Oryctolagus cuniculus: one gene and its partners. Each later gene encodes a partner of the first gene's protein in a complex. Links are inferred from orthologs where the notes say so. Each region holds a gene or a part of one and is shown on either strand. Other genes may lie near its edges. The genes, in order: RBBP4, PRDM16 and ZFPM1.

Region 1 (3,641 bases):
AAAGGATGAATGAATGGGCCGGCGCCGCGGCTCACTAGGCTAATCCTCCGCCTTGTGGTGCCGGCACACCAGGTTCTAGTTCCGGTCGGGGCGCCGGATTCTGTCCCGGTTGCCCCTCTTCCAGGCCAGCTCTCTGCTGTGGCCAGGGAGTGCAGTGGAGGATGGCCCAAGTGCTTGGGCCCTGCACCCCATGGGAGACCAGGATAAGTATCTGGCTCCCGCCATCACATCAGCGTGGTGCACCGGCTGCAGCGCACCAGCCATGGTGGCCATTGGAGGGTGAACCAGCGGAAAAAAGGAAGACCTTTCTCTCTGTCTCTCTCTCTCACTGTCCACTCTGCCTGTCAAAAAAAAAAAACAAACAAACAAAAACAAAAACAAAACAAACAAACAAACAAAAAAAAACGAAAAAAAAAATAAAAAAAGATGAATGAATGGAAACAAAAACAATTGTCAGGACTAAAGCTGTGAAAATAATCAGACACTAATACCCTAAGATTGTAGGTGGCCAAAATACAGTTTGATAGTACAGGGGAGGGGGAGAGGGGGCAAGAGCATCGTGTTACACAGTGCAGCAAGTTAAGCTGCCTCATCTGATGCTGTCATCCAATATGGGTAGAGCTTGAATCCCGGCCCAAGTCTGTGGGTCTCTGGCTTCAGCCTGGTCCAGCCCTGGCTGTTGAGGCCATTTGAGGAGTAAACCAGTAGATGGAAGCTCTTTCTTTCTCTTTCAAATAAATAAATCAGTCTAAAACAAAACCAACTAAAATCCAAACTCAAAGAAATAACATTTCTCTGTGTGTGTGTATACATATATAAAACACAACACAATTGGAGGAAAAACAACTCATTTCCACAGATGTTAATACAGGCAAAAAGAAAGATCCCTACTATTTTATGCACCAGATAAAGCACAAGTGTGCCCAGTAATATACACAAGTCTTCTTTTAAGAAAAAAAAATTGGGGCCGGCACTGTGGCATACCAGGTAAAGCTTCCGCCTGCAGTGCCGGCATCCCACAGGGATGCCGGTTCATATCCCGGCTGCTCTGCTTCCGATCCAGCTCTATGCTGTGGCCTGGGAAAGCAGTGGAGGATGGCCCAAGTCCTTGGGCCACTGTGCCTGCGTGGGAAGAAGCTCCTGGCTCCTGCCTTTGGATCAGCGCAGCTCCAGCCATTTAGGGAGTGAACCAGTGGATGGAAGACACCTCTCTCTCTGTAATTCTGACTTTTAAATAAATAAATTAAAAAAAAATTTAGTAACACTGGTGCTTCTTACCTGGAATATTTCATCTTTATGTGATTCAAAGGAATGCAACTTCAGTTTCAGATTTCTCAAATCCCACAAGGCAACAGTCTACATACAAAAGGAAAAGAACAAGAACAATAAATTTTTTTTTAAAGAAAATCTGTGACTAAAAAGATCTATGTACATTCCAATGATGCTGGGGAAATTAATCCTATATATTCTCTTAAAGTAAACAAAACAGACCTTGTCAGCCGATCCTGTGGCAAGAATGAACTCACTATACGGATTGAAAGACAGGCAGTTCACTTCAGCAGTGTGAGCATCAACTGAGTGGCTTGGCTTGGAAGTATTGTTTGAACGAGTATCCCAACTTAAAAAAAAAAAAAAGAAAGAAAGAAAAAGTAAATAAGAAAAACGCTTGAAATGGTAACTACACAACTTAGGAAACACTCAGAGGAAAAATAAAAAAGGATCCCACTCACATCATAAGTTTCTGATCATCAGCAACCGACCCAAACAGAGATTCATGGAGAAGATGCCAGGAAACATCCTCTACGACCGCTGTGTGCCCCGTAAAGATGGTTTTCGCATCCACCACTTTTCCTTCCTTTGGAACAGCACTGATGTCCCACAGGCAGATGGTCTTAAATGTAAAATCAACCATTAAATGACAAATTTTTACTTCACAAACCTCCTAAAAGAAATCCAACTGGTAATTAGCCCAAATGGGAAGGATACACACGTGGTCATCAGAAGCACTAAGTAAGTGCCCACTGAGATTTGGGTTCCAAGAAAGTCCATAGCCTTCCTTCTGATGTCCACGGAGACGTAAATCTGGGTTGCACTCTCCAGAAGGGTCTGCAGAGTTGAGACACACCAAGATTACCTACTCCATCAACTCTCTGGATCTACTAAGCATAACACAACTCGACTGGATCAAGGTATCTAAAGTTTAACATTTAAAAATATAGAACTCATTATGACCAAATATATGATACTTAAGGTATATTATCATTCTGCTTAAAAAAAATTTTTAAGGCAAGAAGCATAAAGGGAAAAATGTATGCATTCATATTTACGTAGTAATATAAATCACAAAATGTTAAATTATACAAACAACAAGTAATTATACTCAGAATGAGTGGAACCATGTATTCCCACTCTTGATGCATTATTTGCAATTGACTAGAAAAGGGCAGGTACCTGGCTTAGAAGGATGCTTAGTATAGTCGAAGACAAGAACATCACTGGATGGAGTCTTTGTTGCAATGATGCAAGGGTTCTGGGGCATATAACGAGCTCTGTTTACTTCTCCTTCATGGTTGATCTTTATTTCTATTTCAATTTTTCCACTAACTGATCCAAAACCTCCAAATTCTGTAAATAAGATCAAGTGCAAATGAGGAAAAAGCAGGAATTATTCTAGGTATGTCATCCAGAGTACAAGGACTTTTATCAGTAAGCCAGTATACAAGTGATTTAGATATTTGTTGGTCTTTTACACTCTAAGTACATAGTTAAATACTTAATAAGAAGCACTGCCCTCACTATTTGAAATTAACTAGCAATTCCACTTCAAAAGGAGATTCTTACTAGTTTTCAAGTATCATTTAAACTACAATTATGCCAAATAAACAAAACTCAAGTTACTATTTAAATGATTATTAAGTACACAGTTTACTAAGCATTAAAGAGTCCCTCTTATACCATTCACCTGAATCTCTAATTTGGGGCACTTCCCACCTTAAAAAAAAAAATGAGGTTAGCATTAGTGGGTTAAGCCATGGCTTTTGATGCCAGCATTCCACACAGGACCAGTCTCAGCTGTTCTGCTTCCAATCCAGCTCCCTGCTAATGTGCCTGAGAAAGCAGCAGCAGATGACTCAAGTACTTGAGTACCTACCACCCAGGATGGACTTCAAGGCTCCCGGATTTGGTCTGGACCAAACCTTGGCAGCAGTGGACATTTGGGGATTGAACCAGTGAATGGAAGCTCTCTCTGCTTGAAAAGATAAATAAATGCACTCCAATATGGGATGCAGGTGTCCCAAGCAGCGGCTTAACCTACTGTGCCACAATACCTGCCCTTGAGTGACCTTTCTGAAATACTATCACACTCATATCCCTACAGCATTTCTTTTAGCCCAATGAGGAGTAACAGAGCCCCAACAGCTAATTCCATTTTCTTGACCTCCATTTACACTTGCCAATCAATGTCCTTGGTTGAAATAAAACAGGTATGCATGGACTAGACAAAAACACTTTAAATTCTCATTTTGACTACTATATGCATCCAAGAGTTCACCTAAATACCATTACAAAATATTCAACAATATAATAAGGCAATATTATAAGGCAATATAAAAACAAAGGTATGCATGGACTAGACAAAA
Region 2 (3,641 bases), about 23 Mb from region 1:
CTGGATTTCAGTTTTGGGGAGCAAGGTCGGCACCAGGGTAGTAGCCTTGTGTGAACCCCCGCAGTGGTCCGCCAGCCAGCAGCCCCGCCCAGTGCCTGCCTGTGCTGCTCGGTGACCTGGCTCCCACTGGCGTTCCGGGGGCCGGCATCATGGCTCCCTGCCTCTCAGTGGGCCTCCTGGTCCTGACAGTGGCCGGCTGAGGGCCCAGGCACTGCTGGGCTGGGGCTGGAGCTGGCGCAGGGTCAAGCCAGGTGCGCAGGACCGGCTGGTGGAGGCCATGTTTTGGGGGTGCACCAGCATGGGAGATCAGTGCTCTCTTGGTTGGGGGGTTTTGGGACAGAGCCCCCCAACCCTAATGCCAAGTGGTGGGAGTAGGGACATGCTCGAGGGGGAACGGCTGGTGGTCCTCACTGTCGGCGACTCTCCGGGAAGAAGAGAAATCTCCAGAGAGGGGGCGGAGCTAGCGCCCCGGGGCCGCGGAGGGCCCAGGGGAGGGCAGCCCCTGCCTGCTCGGTCACTGCCCAGGAGAGACACGTGGGAGAGAGAGAGAGAGAGAGAGAGAGAGACGGACAGAGGAGGAGTCTTAGCACACAAAGAAGCACACAGCTCATTCGTTCGCAGGAGAAATCATATAATTTGGTTTACAGAAATAGGGTGTTTACAGGGTCGCGTTCAGATGAGGGGAGACTTCCTACGTGGTCGGTACCTGGCGGCCCGGCTGCGGCTGGGCTGCAGGCTTCCGACGGGGCCGCGCCAGCTCCTCGGCTCCCGCCTTGCCGCTGCACACGCTCGTGCTAGGCGGCCTCCGTCTTGCGTCCAGGTAGATCCGGCGAGGGCTGACCCCTGACCCCAGGACCTGCAGCGCTGCGTCGCCCACAGGGGCCTCTCTGCCGTGAGTCTCCGGCAGGAGCCTGGACCCCGGCACCCACTGTCTTTGGCCTGGAGCAGCCAGGACACGCGTGCGTCAGGGCCCCCGGGGCGCACACGGAGGAGGTGTCCTTGGAATGACAAGTCCACGCGGCCGCGGCCGCAGTCGTCTGCGTTCTCGCGGTTTCCTCTTAAGGGCAACGTGGGTGATTTTTTCTCTTCTTAGTGGGACACTAGTATGAGGATTTGTTTTTTTCCCCAAACGACAAAAGAAATAAATAGAACACTCGTCGTCAATGCGAATGCGTCTGAAACTCAGACTGATCAGGGCGTGATTGTCTGGGCACGGGCGGCGGCGGCGGCAGGAGTCGCGGCGGGCGGGGCGGGGTATTTGGCACGTCAGCTGGCCGCCCTCCCTGGTGACGCATCACACAACACACAACCTTATACACGGTTTTGGTCCCTCACTAGATACTTATATTAACATCATTTCTTCACAATAAGAATGTCTAATGCCAAAAAAAATACTGTTAAGGAAGAAATAAAATAAGAAAAGAAATGATTAGAAAAATTACAAGTTATATACAGATTAAGGTGAATTCCATCACGGAAAAATTATACTTCGAAGTTGGCCCCATGGGAATAATTTAAAGCCCGTCCCAGTGGAGAAGCCACTGCCGTGCCCGGGGGCTGGGCGCTCTCTCTGCAGCCCCGGACGTCTGGCCAGGAGCCTGCGCCAAGGGTGGCACGGCGGGGTGGCCGACCTGGGGCCGTAGGCACAGGTAGCGCTTGGCGTCCTGGTGCAGCCGAGCTGCGCAGCCCCCGCCCCGCCCTGGGTGGCCACGGGCAGGACACGGAGCCAGAATGTGGCCAATAGGCCCCACCTCTGGAAGGGTGGCCAGGGCCCCCGGCCACCCCCGGGTGAGGGCCTGAGCCTCGGGCTCCTGGCTTCCCCACGAAGCCGGGGAGTCTGGGGTGGTCGCCCGTGGGTTCTCCAGCAGCCGCGTGGAGGCCCTGGCAGGAGCTCCAGGCCGCCCAGGCGGGCACACCTCCAGGTCCTGGCCCCGGGCAGGCCTGCAGCCCGGGCACCGCGTCTGAGACGCCTCGGTCCAGTCTGCACCCCACGCTCTGCCTCGGGGCACCCGGAATCAACCTGGCTTGTACAAATGGGATCCGAGATAGAAAATCTCTCCGTTATCTACAGTATAAAGAGCTCGCCCAAGCACAGTGCTGGCTCCCAGCGCCCGGGTTTGCGAGAAGCTGAAATTTCAAAGCAATGCAAAATTACTTTTAAAAAACAATTTGCAAGTCATTTTTTTGATTTTTAAAAAATACTGTCTATTTTTAAAACCCACATGCTTAAATAGAATCTGTAGTCAATAAGATTACCAAAAGCGTCACTCTTGTCATTCTCATTATAAAAAGCGCCCGCGCCCGGTCTCGGCAGAGCGCACCTGCCCCGGGCCGGTCCCTTCCTCGGTGACTCCGGGCGCCCGGAAGCGGCCCAGCTCCTGGCCCGGCCTGGGGCTGCTTTGGAGCGGCAGCTCCGGGAGGCGAGGGCTGGGCTCGACCGACCAGGCCCAGGGCCGGTTTCCAGGGATGAGGAGGGAGCTCCCCCCAGCCCCGGGGCTTGCAGCTTCTGAGTCTTCATCAGGAAAGTTCGACGCGGCCCACGCAGGCAGGGGACGGCTGTGGGGGTGGTCGGAGGAGGTGACACGGGGCTTCTCCCTGGCCTCGCCTTCATCCTGGGCAGCCGGCACCCTCGCTCTGGACTCCAGGCCCATCAGAGGTGGTTCATGGGGTTAAAGGCGCCGGACTCCGAGGCGGCTCCCGCCATGTTCAGCCAAGCGTCCAGCGAGCTCTGGGAGGGGGTGTGGAGGGCAGCATCCTCCGAGAGGGACAGCATCATTGCGTATGCCTGTGGGGGGGACACGCAGGCGGGCCGTGAGCAGGGAGCCTCCCCCTGGCCCACACTGTGGGGCGGAGGGCAGCGGGGCCAGGGAGACCCAGAGTCTCCCCTGCCCTGCAGCGGGGAGGGAGAAGGGCCATCCCTCCTGCCCAGAGCGACGCCAAGAGTCCCCGTCCTGGCCAGGGGCTCGCTCGCGGTCACCCTGCCCCGCCCCTGCGTGGTTCGGTTGGTGATCGGGAGTTAAGCGCAGGTGTCTGCTCTGGGCACAGGTGGGAGTTCCTGTGAGACCCTGCGCTCCTGCCGGGCCTGGGGACCCCAGAGCCGCTCTGGGAGTAGGCACCGGAAGCCTCTGCAGGCCACGGAATGATTCGGCGGTGCGGTGGGGGAGAGACGGGGCCGAGCACGGGGTGCTGGGGAGGCACCCAAGTCGACACCCGGACAGAATTAGCAGGAAGACGAAAGACAGACATGCAGACGGCTGTAGCTGAGACGGGGCGAGGCTGTCTGGGGGGCCGGCTGCAGGGAGACAGCAGGTGGGCACTGCGGCCGCCTACGCTGGGGCCCGGAGGCCAGGGCGTCGGGGCCTAGTGACTCCCTGGCCCTGGTCACGGCTGCAGCTTAGCAGCAGGGGCCACCCGGCTGAGTGGCCGCCCCCGGGCACGGGGCTGTGGGTCGCACTGGCCCACAGCAGAGAGGGAAGTGGGGGCTGGGGCTGCAGGCCATAGCGTGGCCGGGAACCTGCTCACAGACCCTGCCCGCTGCCCTGAGGGAGGGGGCCCAGGGGAGGGGGCCCACGGCCGCAAGGCCACAGTGCCCCGGGCTGCTCTCGGCCCCTCCCGGCTCCACTGGCACCCTCGGGCCTCAG
Region 3 (3,741 bases), on another chromosome or scaffold:
GGGGCGGGGCGGGGCCGCGGAGTCGGGGCGGGCGGGGCCGCAGGGCGGGGCGGGGCCGCGGAGTCCGGGGCGGGGCCGCGGGGCGGGGCGGGGCCGAGGAGTCCGGGGCGGGCGGGGCCGCGGGGCGGGGCGGGGCCGCGAAGTGCGGGGCGGGGCCGCAGGGCGGGGCGGGGCCGCGGAGTCCGGGGCGGGGCGGGGCCGCAGGGCGGGGCGGAGCCCGGAGTCGGGGCGGGCGGGGCCGCAGGGCGGGGCGGGGCCGCGGAGTCCGGGGCGGGGCCGCGGAGTCCGGGGCGGGCCGGACGGCGCGGGTCAGGTTGGGGGCGGGGCCTGAGGCACTTGAGCGTCCCGCGGGACCGAATAGGTTGCCTCGTCCCAGCCGGGCCCGGGACAAATGTCCCAGGGCCCAAGGAGAGGCGGAGAAGGCCAGAAGGCGACTCCCAGAGCCGGGGGCGGGGCCACGGCCGTGAGGGAGGAGCCGGAAGGGGTGGGGCCAGAGCGGTGAGGGTCGAACGAGGCTAAGGGGGTCAGAGCGGCGAGAGCGGGCGGACCAGCGCGGTGAGGAGGGAACCCACCACGGGAGACAGCGCGGTGAGCGGCTCAGCGTGACCGGCCCGGGGCCGGCGCGGGAATTCAGAGTGGGGGGCGGAGCCAGACCCGGGAGAAGCGAGGCCTTGCGGGGGCGGGCCCGGGCCGCGGGGGCAGAGCCGGCGCGAGAGGCGCCGCCAGGTCAGGGGCGGGGCCTGGGTGCCGTGGGCGGGGCCGGCGCGGGGAGAGGCGCCGCCAGGTCAGGGGCGGGGCCTGGGTGCCGTGGGCGGGGCCGGCGCGGGGAGAGGCGCCGCCAGGTCAGGGGCGGGGCCGGCGCGGGGAGAGGCGCAGCCTGGCGGGGCGGGACCTATGGGAGGAGAGGCGCAGCCTGGCGGGGCGGGACCTTGGTTCAGTGGGCGGGGCCAGCGCGGGGAGAGGCCCTGTCAGGCCGGGGGCGGGGCCACGAGAGGCGCGGCCCCCAGCGGGGCGGGGCCAGAGGCGCGGTGGCCGGCGACGCGCAGGGCCCGCCTGCCGGGATTCGCCCTCGCCGTGGCCGCGGCCGCCCGATCCGCCGCTCGCCGCCCGCAGGCTCCATTGAGAAAAGCCGAGCGGCGGCGGCGCGCGCGGGAGCCGAGGAGCCGGCCCCGTGCGCCGACAGCTGCGCCCGCAGCAGGCGGTGGCCGCCGGCCCCCGCGGCGGCTCCTGGGCCGAGCGCGGCGGGCCGGGGCCGCGGGCCGTGGCGGCTGCGGAGCCGGGGGCCGTGGGCATGAGCCGCCCCGCGGCTCTGCCGCGCGCCTGCCGCCCGCCGCCGCCCGCCCGAGGCTGAGGCGGCCTTGGAGGCGCGCGGCGCCGGAGACATGTCCAGGAGGAAACAGAGCAACCCCCGGCAGATCAAGCGTGAGTCCCGCGGCCGCGACCCCGCGCGGGGCGCGCCGCTGTCCCCTCCCCCGGGCGGCGGTGGGACGGGGGTCCGGCCCGCACCGCGATGGTGCGGCGATAGCGCGGCCCCGATCTGGGCGCCGATAAAGTTTAAAATATTCCATTCTGCAAGTCTCGTCCCGATAAGATCGCCCCGTCGGGACGGGCAGAAATTGTGATCTTATCTGGCGCGCTCGGCTCTCCCAGGCTTTGTATCCAGAGGGGGACCCGGGGGGCGGGCGCCCGAGGCCGGCGCGGGGCCCCTTGCCGCCGGCCCCCCTGGCGCCGCGCGCCCGAGGCCCCCGACCCCGGAGCGTCTCGGCCGCGCAGCCGGCACGCGGGGCCCTGGCGACCGCGGGGGCTGCGCGGAGCCCGGGACAGGTCGCGGGGACTGGGGCCGGCCGAGTTTTTCGCGGGTCGAGCAGTCCTCTCCCGGGCGGCCGCTCGGCCCCCGCGTTACTGATGCCCCACAGATAAGGGCGCCCTGCGCCAGGAAGCGCCGCGCCCCGGCCCACGCCCCTAACAACTTCGCGCCTCTGCAGCCAGGGCCACCTCCCCGGGCCAGACCCGCCCGGGAGGCGTTGAAGGGGGCAGGCCGGCTGCTCGGCTCCTGGCGCCTGGCCGCTGCCAGCGGGACCCCGGGTGCCCGTGCGTGGGCGGTCGCTGCACCCGGGTTGTCCGGAGCCGCGGCGCGGGCTCCGGTCCCGGTCCCCGGTGCAGGTGGGACTTGCTTTCCGAAAGTCGTCTTCCACCGAGTCCGCGCGAGTCTGGAAGCACCCACAGGTCCGATCTGCGCGCCTGCTCGGGTTTCGGCTCCCCCCTCCCCCCGGGCGCCTGTGTTCGGGTCTGTTCTCGTGTGTTTCGGCTGATGAGAAATGCAGATAGGGCGGGCAGGGAGAGCGCGGGTTGGGAACCGATCGCCAGGGCCGATAAGGCCGCCGCGGCGGCGAGAGCCCAGCCCGACTGGGTCGCCGCGCCGCTGGCGCTGGGGACGGGTACCTTGGCAGAGGAGGGGGCCGGAGCCGAAGGTGGCCCCGGGCGCCGCCCCGCCCCCGGCGGCTCAGTGCTGGCGCTTAGTGCCAGCGCCGATGGCAGCTGCGCCGTGGCCTCACCTGCGACCCGGCGGGCGTTGCGGAGGGGCGGGGCCGAGCCCTGGGGCCGCCGCCCCCCGCGCCCCCTCCGCGGCCGGGCGCAGCTGCCCGCGCCCCCAGCGCCTTTTGTTCGGCGCAGATAGATGTGCCGCGCTGATAGGGCGCGCACCGATGGCGGCGGCGATAGGCGCTTCCATTTATTAACTTCAAACGTGGGAGCGGGGGAGGGCGAGGCGGGAGCGCGGCCTTGGCCGGCCAGATGGCTGCTGCGATAGGCCGCCGCCCGGCAGGGCGCAGCCCCGGACCCCCGGCGCCCCCCGGCCGGCCCGGCTCTCCTCCCTCCCGGTTGATGTGAGCTCTGATAAGCGCTGGCCGGCCGGCCGATGGCGATCGCCAGGAGCGATAAGAGGCCTTATCTGCGTCCAGCAGGCCCGGCCGGGTCCGAGGCAACAGCAGCGGGGTGGGGACTGGGACGGAGGCGGGGGCTACCGGCTGGGGCAGGACGGGCGAGGGGGCCCGGGACCGGCCAGGCGCACCGGGAGCAGCGTGCGTCCTGGGGGAGCTCCCCCCAAACACGCTGAGTTGCCAAGAAGTTGGTCCCCCCCGCCTCGGGTGGTACGGTCCGTCAAAATGAAAGAAAGCGGACTTTGGCTGGCCTGGGAGGGGGAGGGGAGGCCTCCCCCAGACGTGTGGCGATGGTGGGGGTCTGTCACCCGGAGAAGGGGAGAGGGCTCCTTCCCTCCCCCCTCCTGGCCCTTCCGGCCGGCAGCAGGAGTAAGCAGCTTGGAGTTTTCTTGGAGAAAAAAAAAACTAAGGTGGTTTCCATGACTTGGAGGCGCCTAGGGTGTGGGATCTCTGGGGGCCCTAAGTCAGGGGGGAAGGGGGGCTGTGCGCAGCACAGGGTCCCAGCTGCTGCCCCAGGGCAAGGGAGGGCGAAGGGGAGCGTGGCCACTGGGGGCTGGCTAGGCCTGGGCCTCCAACTCTGAAGGATGGGCCCTGACTCGGGCTGCCGAGGGGGCGTGGCTGGGAGGAGGCGAGGCGAGGTCAGAAGGGCTCCTCCGTTTCCCTGTCTGAGAAATGGGCCTGGGACCGGATCCCAGATGCCCGGTGGAAAGCCAGGCCCCGACGGTTTCCGGCAGGAGCCTGGGGACTTGCCCGGCCTCCGTCCCCGCCCCGGCAGCTGCTCCGTGCTAGGCGAGGGTGTTTT

What was found.
Region 2: the proteins of RBBP4 (region 1) and PRDM16 are in contact, whole or in part, in a crystal structure (PDB 6BW4), measured with the Homo sapiens proteins. The link is inferred for Oryctolagus cuniculus from reciprocal best matches to the Homo sapiens genes RBBP4 and PRDM16. Residues at the interface, in NP_005601.1 of Homo sapiens: Ala39, Leu40, Glu41, Trp42, Pro43, Leu45, His71, Thr72, Ser73, Asp74, Glu126, Asn128, Arg129, Glu179, Tyr181, Asp198, Val229, Glu231, Asp248, Glu275, Asn277, Phe321, Glu395, Asn397; in NP_071397.3 of Homo sapiens: Met1, Arg2, Lys4, Ala5, Arg6, Ala7, Arg8, Lys9, Leu10.
Region 3: the proteins of RBBP4 (region 1) and ZFPM1 are in contact, whole or in part, in a crystal structure (PDB 2XU7), measured with the Homo sapiens proteins. The link is inferred for Oryctolagus cuniculus from reciprocal best matches to the Homo sapiens genes RBBP4 and ZFPM1. Residues at the interface, in NP_005601.1 of Homo sapiens: Ala39, Leu40, Glu41, Trp42, Pro43, Leu45, His71, Thr72, Ser73, Glu126, Asn128, Arg129, Pro145, Glu179, Tyr181, Asp198, Glu231, Asp248, Glu275, Asn277, Glu319, Phe321, Lys376, Glu395, Asp396, Asn397; in NP_722520.2 of Homo sapiens: Ser2, Arg3, Arg4, Lys5, Gln6, Pro9, Arg10, Gln11, Ile12.

The regions. Positions count from the first base shown.
Region 1 is NC_091438.1:139,875,032-139,878,672, forward strand, and holds part of RBBP4 (histone-binding protein RBBP4), read right to left. Parts: intron 2,626-3,641; coding exon 2,452-2,625; intron 2,107-2,451; coding exon 1,991-2,106; intron 1,892-1,990; coding exon 1,731-1,891; intron 1,619-1,730; coding exon 1,492-1,618; intron 1,357-1,491; coding exon 1,279-1,356; intron 1-1,278. UniProt on the Homo sapiens protein: Core histone-binding subunit that may target chromatin assembly factors, chromatin remodeling factors and histone deacetylases to their histone substrates in a manner that is regulated by nucleosomal DNA.
Region 2 is NC_091438.1:162,974,928-162,978,568, forward strand, and holds part of PRDM16 (histone-lysine N-methyltransferase PRDM16), read right to left. Parts: intron 2,786-3,641; coding exon 2,651-2,785; 3' UTR 1-2,650. UniProt on the Homo sapiens protein: Binds DNA and functions as a transcriptional regulator. Displays histone methyltransferase activity and monomethylates 'Lys-9' of histone H3 (H3K9me1) in vitro.
Region 3 is NC_091449.1:68,558,567-68,562,307, forward strand, and holds the start of ZFPM1 (zinc finger protein ZFPM1), read left to right. Parts: upstream 1-1,045; 5' UTR 1,046-1,382; coding exon 1,383-1,422; intron 1,423-3,741. UniProt on the Homo sapiens protein: Transcription regulator that plays an essential role in erythroid and megakaryocytic cell differentiation. Essential cofactor that acts via the formation of a heterodimer with transcription factors of the GATA family GATA1, GATA2 and GATA3.